2 linked regions of the Drosophila melanogaster genome follow. The gene in region 2 interacts genetically with the main gene of each other region. Each region holds a gene or a part of one and is shown on either strand. Other genes may lie near its edges. The genes, in order: TBPH and CG32576.

Region 1 (6,108 bases), on a different chromosome or scaffold from region 2:
CTTGTACACCTTCACGCAGCTATTCCCGTTGACATGGACCACCTGCGATCGCAGCCCCAAGGAGCGGGCGTTGTTGGCGAATGCTTCGTGCTCGCTGGTGCGGAATGTGCACGGGAACTGCTGGCAGCAGCGCCGTCCCGCCAAGAAGTAGAGCAGCTGTTGCGGAATGTACTTGTCCTGGATGATGTGGTTCATTTCTGCTAGCTTCAAACAGATTGACACTAAATTAAGTGAAGTGCGCCGCAATGCGCGCGGCAATTGCAAGTTCCGTTATTGCCACCGTCGTGAAAATAGAAAAATGGCGGAATGGAACACAGGGCTGTATTTTCGCTGGCGCAAAGCTTGCTCATTAAGGGTATTCCTTGCATATACTCAAACAAATGTGTAGTGGAAATTTGTAAAAAAAAAAGATCCAGGTGTCATTACAAACTGAATTATAAAACATACTTTGTTATTTTCAAAGAATAAGAGATAAGTTTCCAAGACGGGAGAGTTTCCTTTACAGGAATATATTAAAATATTCAATTCACAATCCCATAGATTCCATTCAAATGAAATGATTCACTTTGTACTAATATGCTTTTGCATTCTTTATTTTTTGAAATGAATGTACATGTTAAATGAATTCTCCTCTAAAATGAGGCTGCGCCAAATTCGTTTAGATATCTTAAAGAAAACTTTGTTATATTGGAAATTCTCCGCAGATCCAGCATTATAAGTGCACAATCTTTATAACTAAACTTTCTTAGCGTAAGCCAAAATATATTTAATAAACAACAAAATACAAATCAAATTCTACTTAAGTGATACAATGATACAATTTTTACTGAGCTTTGGCGCAGAATTTATTTTGAAGTGTGTTTTATCAATTGTGTTATTAGCCATCCAGTGTCATCTTGTTTACAATTATCAAAATATCTATTACATATTAAATACAATTCTTAACTGGTTTGTATGTGGAATACATATATGTAAATTTAAGTAAGCTACAGAGGTGTTGGTTAACCACATTAACCACATCATTGGGTGACAGGCACCGCCTTAAAGAAAGTTTGACTTCTCCGCGGCGTTTTGAGATCCGCTGCTCTGGTTCGACCAACCGGTGTTCCCATTCTGGAATAGAGTAGAATAGATTCTGGCTGGGATCCAGGTTTCTTAGGGGATGGTTTCAGTTTTGACTCTAACCTGTGGCTCCGAGTTGTCGGTCTTTATTCCGTTGGCGGCCGGATTGTTGTTCGGGTTATTCGGCCCCTTCCGTCCACCAAAGTTGTTGGCATTGTTGTGGCCCCCGTTCTGAGCCATCCAAGATAGAAAATTGCCGCCCTGCGGAGCAAGTGAGAGAGTTTTTTGTTTGAAACAATGATTGAGGTGTGAAGGCTTGCCTGTTGGTCCTGGTTTTGGTTCTGCAGCTGGTTGCCGACCAGGCTCCACTGGTTCAAGGCGGCAGCGACCAGTGCGGGATTGATGGGCAATGAGTTGAGATTGAGCATTGACTGGTTGCTCATGTTTTGGCCCTGGTTGGAGGAGCTCGATCCCTGCGAGTTGATGCCCAGGGCCTGCAGGTTGGGCATGTCCAGGTGGCCACGGTTCATCCAGCCGTTGCTGCCGCCCACGTTGCCGTTATGCGGCTGGTTCATTCCGTGAAAATTCGACTGGCGACTGTTGTACTGGCTGCCGCCGTCCTGGCGGTTCGTGTTCCCGCCACTGGAGTGATTGCCGCCATTGTTGTGGTAGCCCCCGCCCGAGTTGCCGCCGTAATTGTTGCCACCCATGCCGTAGCCGGCGGTGCCAATGTTGTGATTATTGGGCACAATTGCGTTCTCACCGCCGTGAGCATTGTGTTGGTTATTACCTCGGTGGTGTCCGTTGCGGCCCGGATTCATGTGGTTACCCTGTGGGTGGTATGAGTGCATGCCAAAGCTGTTGGCAGAGTTGTAGTTGTAGCTCTGGACCTGTTGGTTTCTGTTCTGCTCGGCCTTTGGAGCAGCATTCGACACATGGACCGAAACGCCTGTGGAAAGTGTCTCATTAATTCCCTGATTCTTCTCCACGCGGCAGTGACTCACCCTTGATAATGTGATCCTCTCCGCACAGGGACTGTGCCACGTCGGGATCAAGGAAGGTTACAAAGCTAAAGGCCCTGAAGGGCCGGGGAATGAACACATCAGTGACTTCGCCAAACTTGGAGAAATACTCGCGCAAGTCGTCCGAGTTAATGTCCTCGGTGCAGCGGCCCACGAACACCTTGCAAGGCACCTGGTGGCCCATGCCCTATGAGAATAGAAGGATTAGTAGGCGTGAAATTGCAGGGCTAACAAGAGGACTTACCTTCGAGTTGGGCACCTTAACCTCGCACCAGCGACCGTCGATCAGATGGCGATTGGTGAGCACGCGCATCTGGGCATCGTAAGAGCCGAAGCGCACGAAACCGAAGCCCTTGGACTGGCCCGACTTGGTGTCCTTCTTGATCTGGGCCATCAGCACCTCGCCGTAGGTCTCGAAGTACTCACGCAAGCTCTCCTCTGTGGTCTTCCACGGCAAGCCGAGCACGATGAGATCAGTGCAGCGCAGACGGGTCTCGATGCGTTTGGTCTTGGCAGTTGAGTTCTCCAAGTTATCGTCGCTCTTGCGCTTGTTCTCTGCAGGGGGGGATTACAGAATTATTTAAGGTTCAACAGGGAGTCATACAACTCGAATTTACCCTTGGGAAAGACGCAAAAGTAAGCGTACTCGCCCCAGCCGGACTCCACGCTGGGCGGAAACAGTCTGCCCTCGTTGGAGCGAACTCCGCGCACAGCCTTCGTGTCCAGGTTGCGGTACTTCAGACCGCAGGATCCAGGGAACTGAGCTTGCAGTGTGGACAGAAGCAGAGTGCCATCCTCCTCAGCCGGCAGCTCGATGGGCTCGTCGCCCTCCTCCTCCGACACTTGAACGAAATCCATTTCCTAGAAGGCTGCTAGAAACGAGGAGGGGATTAAAGAACTCTATCGCCGCAGGGGCTCACACTTCGCTCTAGAAATGATCCACCATGTCATTCAGTCAACGGAAGCATCCCACATATTCTGCATCGCTGCATTCATGAATGCACTCACTCAGTTCATCCGTTCTATTCAGATGCATCCCAAGGTACAATATTCAACACAAAAAGGTTGCCCCGAACCACTCTATACACACATTGCTCGTGGGACCAAGCCAAAACAAAAAGGATCCTACACTAGGTCAATCTACTAAAAACGACAAATAAACAATGTTTCTATCTCTTGTAATTTCGATGATATAATTTTAGTAAGTATTACAAACATATTCATATATTATTAGTGTTCATGTTTAGGCGTTTCTTTACGTTATTATTAGTTAAAAATTCTCTGAATCAGACGCTACTTATGTCCCACCATCGGCTAAATGCCTATTCTACGTACATTTAGTTAATAAACAAAAGAAGAATACCCAATCCCAAGTTTACGATGTATGGCATACATATGTATATGTTTTGAACTACTCAAGAAAACAGATATTTCACCCACTTAATACGAGTAAACTGACGTTTGTGAGTGTGGAATCGCGGCAGGAATTGGAAAATCAATGAATGAAAGCCACATAAATTGAAAATATCCAATCCTGTCGTCTGTGTGTGAGTGCAAGTGTGTGGCACACACACACACGCACACAAACGCAATCGTCGAGGGGAGGACATAATGTGTAGACGGAGGCAGTTTGGCGGTCCTAAAAGATGGTTGGTTACACAACAATTCTTACACTATTGACAGGGATTAGTTGGTTGCTGTAATTTCTGACTGCGTATGGCAAGTAGATATAGATTTCTGATCCCAGATCTCAGATCGCACGCTCTCTCACACGAATTCGATTCACACCCAGGCAAAATCAGGTATTCACTGTACGTTCCACGCTCGGTTCTTGACACAACACACGCTTCGATGCACAACCACTTTCAATCGGTGCGAAATAGGAATCAGGTAATATTTACAATTGACAGCTTAACAAATTTTCAAACGACGAGTGAAGCATTTCTTCTCGCTTTCCGTTTTGATTTTCTTTTCCTTTGTATGTATCGCCTGACGTATGCGCAGTGTGGCCGAACAGGGCTAGTGAGAAATACCAGCCGGCGGGTAGATATACTAAAAGTGTATTATTTTTAGTTAAAACAGTGCATTGTCACATAAATTTTAATAGCCTCTTTATTAAACTATATGAGCGTTGATTGCCACTATGAATATCTAAGCAATATATTACATTACAATATGGCAATTATATTGGCATTTGGTACTGTCGAATAAAATACCAAACCTTGCAGTGCTGCCCATCAGCTATACCAAAAAAAAACTTGGCAGCATTGCGCATCGTGTTCATTTGAAATTTCGAAACACAAAACATTATAAATAAATTCAAACGAAATTAGCTCGCCATGGAAATGCGTACGATAAAAACAGCTAGACTTTATTAATCAATAACATTTATTATTTACAGCTGAAGGAGTTTCGATTGCTCTTGCAGACCGCGCTTGAATGACAAAATGCATTAGTTGGTTTCGAAATATTAATGATTGGCTAACAATTATGATACATTATTATTTATACACAATTAAAAAAGGCATCGCTGATTTGCACTACACAAATATTATTGTATTTTCTCGTAATATTAGTAAAATCACAGTGAAATATTACTGCACGCCGTAGAGTTGAAAATGTAGTTCTGGGCCTCCAGAATGTGCATTTCAGTTAAACATATAGCAACTAACAGGATAATGTAACCGCTGTACCGGATCGCGCGCAGGAAGTCCCACAGCTTGTCGCAGAAGATGCTCAGCAGGACGCAGTGCAGCAGGGCGTGCACGTTGACGATGCGCCACATCCAGGCGACGCAGAAGAACCAGGTCGACTTGAACACGTAATCCTGGCAATGCGACTGGTTGCCGCTCACGTCCTCGCGCTCCAGCATGTTCTGGTAGACGGCAATGTAGCGATTCCACGCCGTCGAGCTCAGCAGCAGCTGGCCCGTGAAGCTGATCACGTTCTTGGCCACCTTGCGCGTGGTGGCCTTCATCTTCGGTATCATCATGGTGGGCTCCGGCAGCTTGGAGTCGCTCATGGGTATGATCGAGTAGCCCCTCCGCGGTGGATTGTTCTTCAGGTAAAAGAATATGCCCAGCAGCAGCGCAATGCAGCCGAGTCCGTCGCACAGGCCGTCCACATAGTAGCCGGAGGTGCCGATCTCCGAGCGCTCGCCGCGTATGTGCTTGCGCACGCGCGCCACATGCCCGTCCAGGTCGTCCAGGAAGGTGCGGATCTGGAAGAGCAGCACGCCCAGCCGCCGATAGCCCAGGCTGTCCGAGGCCACCAGTTTGCCCGCCAGACAGGCCACGCCCACATGGAAAAACGATATCATGTTGGGCGTGATGAAGGTGGAGCGCGAGAAGCCGATCACGTTGTCGAACATGGTGGCCAGCGGGGCGAACAGGTAGTGGTTGGTGTGGTCCAACAGAATGGCCTTCACGGTCACATGGCAAAGCGGATTTATATCACAGGATATCCAGGTGTGGTCCTCGTAGGACGGCTGCCGGTCGCCGGCGGTGGGTAGTTTCGTACTGGTGCTGCTGCTACTGCTGCTGCTGCTGCTGCTGCTACCACCGATGCTGCCGGACCCGGACTCCGAGGTGGACGGACCCACGACGGAGGCGGGCAGCGAGACATTCGTGTGATAGTTCCTCTCGATGGCATAGTTGTGGATGCGCAGGTAGAGCTCCACGTCCATGAAAACGTAGAAGATGATCAGCAGGAACAGCAGGGTGAGCAGGATCTTGCTGATCTGCGAACTGGGTCCGATCATGGTGACACTTTGAGGTAGCGCTTAACACTAAGTTCTTATCGGGCTGATTTCAGGGCGCAGCTGTGGGGCGGAAAGAAGTGAAGCTGATCAATATGGTTTATCGAAGCGAAGTAGTTGTCAAGATAAGCCGCGCACGGCATAAAAAGTTTGGCAAGCAACATGCAGGGTTTTGAAATCCCCTTCTGAAATTCTGAAATCGTATATGCGATCATAATAATGCTCAGCTATCAAAGAGTGAAAGCTAACAACTAACCACTGGCAATG
Region 2 (5,176 bases):
CGTGTTCGTGCCAGCCTTAGTGTATGTACAGTGCTCACTCGAAACAGTGGACTATTGAGAACCAAGGGTGTGCACTGAATCGAATTTGTTCACTATAACGAATCACAGAAAAAATAAACAATTTAATATATTTTTCAAAAACACCACGTTTGAAAAAATTTAATTTTTTTACTAAGTTAAGCGAAAGTTTCTAAAATTTCATAAATTAATCGTTCACTTTTACTAAAAAGTTCACATATTCGAGTGTTCACTCTTAAGGGAGGGCACTGTATATATAAAGAATTTGTATATGTTCTTTAATTTGTATAAATTGATATTTTGTAGTCATAATAAAGCGAAGGTATGTACTTTAAAATAAAAACGCTATCAATCATTTTAATGAAGGGTTTACCGTTGGCGGGGGCTTATCGCAAAAAATTGGGGAAATATTATTTAAATGAGAAGTAGGGATTTCCGCTTGTCGAAGCACTCCGCTAATTACCAACATTTTTGCCTTTTTTGTTTGCTGTTTAATATACAATACCCGTGTTGCAAGTTAAGTGAAAGTTGTATATCTTCAGGCATCATTTTTATAATTAATTTAATCGAGGTTATTGGTTAACATAAATTATAACTTAACCCAAATTAAAAACCTTTTTTGAGTGTTTCCCATAACAAATTACAAAAGGAGAAAGCCACAATCATTCGGTTTGATAAACTACAAGTATTTTGTTTATGAAGGCGGATTTTTACATGGGCTTAAATGGGTTTACAAGAATTTGAATTGATTTTATTTACTTTATACAAAAAGTTATTGCAAAATGACCAACTTTGGAGATGTAATTATACTGTAGTTCGGTTGCCGTCTCCACCAAGTTTTTGAACAATCTAAATACAAATACAAAAGGGTAAAATGTTAAAAGATAATATATTTAATAGCTCTAAAACTAAAGAATAACGAATTTTCTTGAGTGCGATATATCGATAGGTGCAGTGTGTCTGTATTACATTTCGGAAATCGATTTGTACAAACGCAACCGTAGTGCTCGTTGATCGATAACGGGGTGCGATAGCTATCGAGAGACCCATCTCCAACGTTCTCATACCTAAAATAAAAAGGCTGGAGGAATATCTCTTTCCCGACTTCTGATTTTACGTAAACCATGTCGAACTATATTGCCAGAAAGGGACCCGCAGTTCTCTGTAAGTAATACGAACGGGCAACAATCGGACTCACGTTGCATGCAACAAATTTCGTAGTGCAGTACGCCGGAATATTATGATTACGTAAATATGTAATGCGAATTTTTCCCCACAGCAAATCTGGGCAGATGGGCCTACAATCTCTCCGGATTCAACCAATACGGTAGGACTACTATATAACCTAGTGATTCCTAACAGCTGAGCTTGATGCCATCGATTTTTGCAGGTCTGCATCGCGATGATTGTCTGTATGAGAACGAGGATGTGAAGGAGGCCGTGCGCCGATTGCCCAGGAAGCTGTACGATGAGCGTAACTACCGCATCATGAGGGCCCTCCATCTGTCCATGACCAAGACCATTCTGCCCAAGGAGCAGTGGACCAAGTACGAGGAGGACGTCAAGTATCTGGAACCCTACCTCAAGGAGGTCGTGAAGGAGCGCGAGGAGCGTGAGGACTGGGAAAAGATCCACTAAACGCGCCACTAAATCCCTCTACTTTGGACTTGTAAATGTTGAAATACATAGCTTAGATAAATACCAAAATTGGCTATGAAATCGAGTCTGCGTGGTCGTTTGGGAATGTGGACCCTTCAGTTTATTTCAATGGGCTTTCGCGTCAAGGCGAGATGAGCGCGTTAAGTGATCATGAGTATGGGCTATTTGCTATGTTATATTTTTTATTTTTTGTGAGGCTCCATGCTACCTTACCTTTTGTATAAATGGTAAATTAAACAGCGATCCTAAAACAGGCACTCGGCCTAGGAAATTAATGGCCACGGGGAAGAAGCCGCTGAAAATATAAAGAGAAGGACATTAATAAGTAATAAGTAAACGACAAATCACTAAAAGAAGTTACTTCCACTTGTATTGCCATCTTGCACGTTTCGAAGTTAAGTTAAATTCTTATATTCACTGAATATTTTCCCTACTTTGAATAGATTTCCATTCATTAATCCGATATATATGAAGCAGACCTTTTAACGTTCGTTAAAAGATATTTTAATGAATAAAAAGACCTACATATATTAGGGTAATTATTAAGTTGCACCTTTGGTCGTAACTTATGAAGAAGCATGCAATTGAAAAGGTAAAAGGAGAGAGGTATAGATAGGAAAAAATGTATAAAAGGACAGAACAGAACAAAACAGACAGAAACAGCGAATAGTTATAATGAAGGACATACTTTTTGCTTTCTTTAGCTCTGATCAAATGCTATAAAATCTGATCGAGCTTTTTTTGTAAGCGAATCTGAAGAATTATACTTGGTATTTGCTGTTAATGCCACAGCGTCAAATTGTCCCATCTACATGACTTGCAGTCTTTCAATTAAAATATAAAATATTTCTAAAGGATGTCATCTGACAGCAACTTTGACTGCCAAGCCCTGACTTGCGAATGGTGTATTAAGAGCGGGAAAGCGAAAAGACCATGTGGAGTGCGTAACCGGTTAGCCCCGCTCAAATGGTCTTAAACGAATCCGACTGGGACTTGGCCAGGGTGCTACGAACCTGAAGAGTGCGAAAAATCCATAGGATTCAATAATCATGCCGAAGATGGGGAATCCCAGCAGGACGATGACGATTCCCCCTAAGAAGGCCGTTGTGCCTTTGACTTTGTGCCGTTGGAAGAAAAAGCGCATCGTGCGCTCCACGCCAATGACGCAGGCCAGGCCCGATATGAATAGAATCTGCGGGAAAGAGGCGATTGCTATTATTATAGAGCTCGAAGGGTGTGCTATATGGGGCATATGGTGCATGTGCATGTGGGTAACGTACATTGCCAATGGCGAGCAGTCCTTTATCGAACAGCAGCAGCATGCCGAGAAACAAAAAGAAAATGCCAAAACCAGCCAAGCCGATGCCAATTTCTGCGGGAAGATTTCAATAGGCGGTTTAGTTGCGCTGATGGCTTTCGCATATTAATGGCTACTTACTCTGCAAATCTGATATTTCAATCATTTTGTATTTGGCTCTGCTTTAATTTGATTTCAGAAAAAATTAAATCCACGTAAACACCAATTCAATTTCAAAGCACAAACAGCTGATTTCGACTTTCATTCAAAGTTACGTGCTAACGACTGTAAACAATGTTTGCAGGGATGCAAGCGCTTTAGTGTTGTAAAGCGATCAAGCTGCCGATTAATTATTTAAAACCTCTTGGATTCAGTCCATTTGGATGCAAATAAATGATAAAATGTATTAAATAAAACTATTTTTACCATTTAATACGTATTTTCCCACAAATATAATATTCGGCATATTTGTGTTCCATTCCCACACATTTCAATGATATATAGATAGATATTTCGATAGGCGCTACAAGACCCACACATACCAGCCCCCTTCGACGCACATCCCTAATTAATTTTCACACGCCATTTTACAATAGAATTTGTGACGATCTGACGCTTTCTTCAATTCGAGCAATTTGTACGCAGCGAGTTATTGAAACTCCTGCAATTCTATTGATTAAAAAAAGACTTCACGCAACGTTTATTAAACATGGAACGTAAGTATAATTTTAACACGCGCATAAGTCGCAACGTGAATTGAAAACGATGAAATATGTGCACTCTAGGTGGCGGTTATGGTGGTGGTTCGGGACAGGGATATAATAATTTCGCTGTCCCCCCACCAAATTACCAGCAAATGCCAAATAAAACGGGTAACTACAACGAGCCACCTCCGAACTACGGCAAACAAGGCGGTGGTAAGGCGTGCATGCGAACTTTGTGTTGCGAGCAACACACCAATACTCACAAACTTATGTTTTTAAGGTTATGATTCCGGTTCCGGTCATCGTGGTTCTGGTGGCAGCGGCAACGGTGGCGGCGGCGGCGGATCATGGAACGACAGAGGAGGCAATTCCTACGGGTATGTTATCCACTTTTAGTATTTCGCTGCTGTTGAGTTACAGCGAGGCTATTTAGATCATGGGTAGTAGTCTTTCACGGAGGTTTTTTAAGTGTTATAAGAGAAGTGTACGCATATATAAATATTTACAAATCAATCCAGCCAAACCAATGAGAAAAGACACCGAGCCACTCCTTGAAACATGAAGCGTATTTTAAAGATATTATTGAAATGCAAGAGATGCACTGTGCTGCATCAGAGTGTGAAACTGCTTGAAGCTATTCCTGCAACTACGACTTGTTCCGACTGCTTAAAAACGCAGAAAACATAAAATTATAACAACAAAAAAAAACGTATCTCCCAATTTGGCAAATTATTATTTATCCGCATGACTGTATTTCATGTACGTTTGTTTTTTTTTCATCGAAAATCTGTGTAAAAATATTAGAAAATGGTATTTCAAAATGGTTTTGACGAGTCAAATGAGTATAATGGTAAAAAAAAAAACAGATGATGCCCTGGGGAAACAAATATCTGCAATGCATAAATAATACTGGTTATACTGAATAAGTAATAATAAGTAATACCACAGTCGTTGCAATCGGAATAATAATGGTCGCCTAATGAAATCTATGATGAATTTGTGATAATTGCATAGAGAATCGCGCACATGTTATTATTATCGTTTTAAACCATACACTATATCATCCATTCCTGCCTTAATACGATACAATGCTAGCATAAACATGTTCCAAAATGAACATTCAAAAAATGTGTGTGTTCCCAACAGGATGGTTATGAAAACCAGATCAAACATGACACAAGTGTAATCGAAGATATAAAGCTAAAAAGAATATAAAAAATATCAACCAGCAATCATAAAATTAAATAAATTGTGGCTCGAGACAAAAACAATAAACAATAAAAAAATTCGATATATTATTAATGCACAGTTCGGAGGAATTGGTATGGTTCTGAGACTCTAATCATCTTAAGGTATTTACGTATACAAAAATAATAACAAATTTTAATTATTAGCTATTAAGGTTATTACATATGTTTATACACATAAGAAAGCAATGATTTTGCGCCTAAGAGAGAGCTTACCTCTAACAATCTAAATGTAAGATAGTTTTAAGCAA

Evidence for each region.
Region 1: of CG32576 (region 2) and TBPH, changing one suppresses a phenotype caused by changing the other (phenotypic suppression), as found in Drosophila melanogaster (one study listed by BioGRID).

What each region holds. Positions count from the first base shown.
Region 1 is NT_033778.4:23,858,505-23,864,612, forward strand, and holds TBPH (TAR DNA-binding protein-43 homolog), read right to left. Parts: upstream 4,090-6,108; 5' UTR 2,943-4,089; coding exon 2,702-2,942; intron 2,640-2,701; coding exon 2,329-2,639; intron 2,272-2,328; coding exon 2,067-2,271; intron 2,012-2,066; coding exon 1,383-2,011; intron 1,324-1,382; coding exon 1,186-1,323; intron 1,114-1,185; coding exon 1,042-1,113; 3' UTR 563-1,041; downstream 1-562. Other genes in the region: bgcn (benign gonial cell neoplasm), read right to left, coding at 1-195; Cpes (ceramide phosphoethanolamine synthase), read right to left, coding at 4,666-5,844.
Region 2 is NC_004354.4:16,285,268-16,290,443, forward strand, and holds CG32576 (uncharacterized protein), read right to left. Parts: upstream 3,267-5,176; 5' UTR 3,141-3,266; coding exon 3,116-3,140; intron 3,050-3,115; coding exon 2,958-3,049; intron 2,870-2,957; coding exon 2,691-2,869; intron 1,973-2,690; coding exon 1,891-1,972; coding exon of another isoform or gene 1,882-1,890; exon of another isoform or gene 1,657-1,881; coding exon of another isoform or gene 1,409-1,656; exon of another isoform or gene 1,346-1,408; coding exon of another isoform or gene 1,298-1,345; exon of another isoform or gene 1,183-1,297; coding exon of another isoform or gene 1,143-1,182; exon of another isoform or gene 868-1,142; coding exon 823-867; 3' UTR 686-822; downstream 1-685. Other genes in the region: UQCR-14 (Ubiquinol-cytochrome c reductase 14 kDa subunit), read left to right, coding at 1,143-1,182, 1,298-1,345, 1,409-1,656; caz (cabeza), read left to right, coding at 3,684-3,690, 3,760-3,891, 3,959-4,055.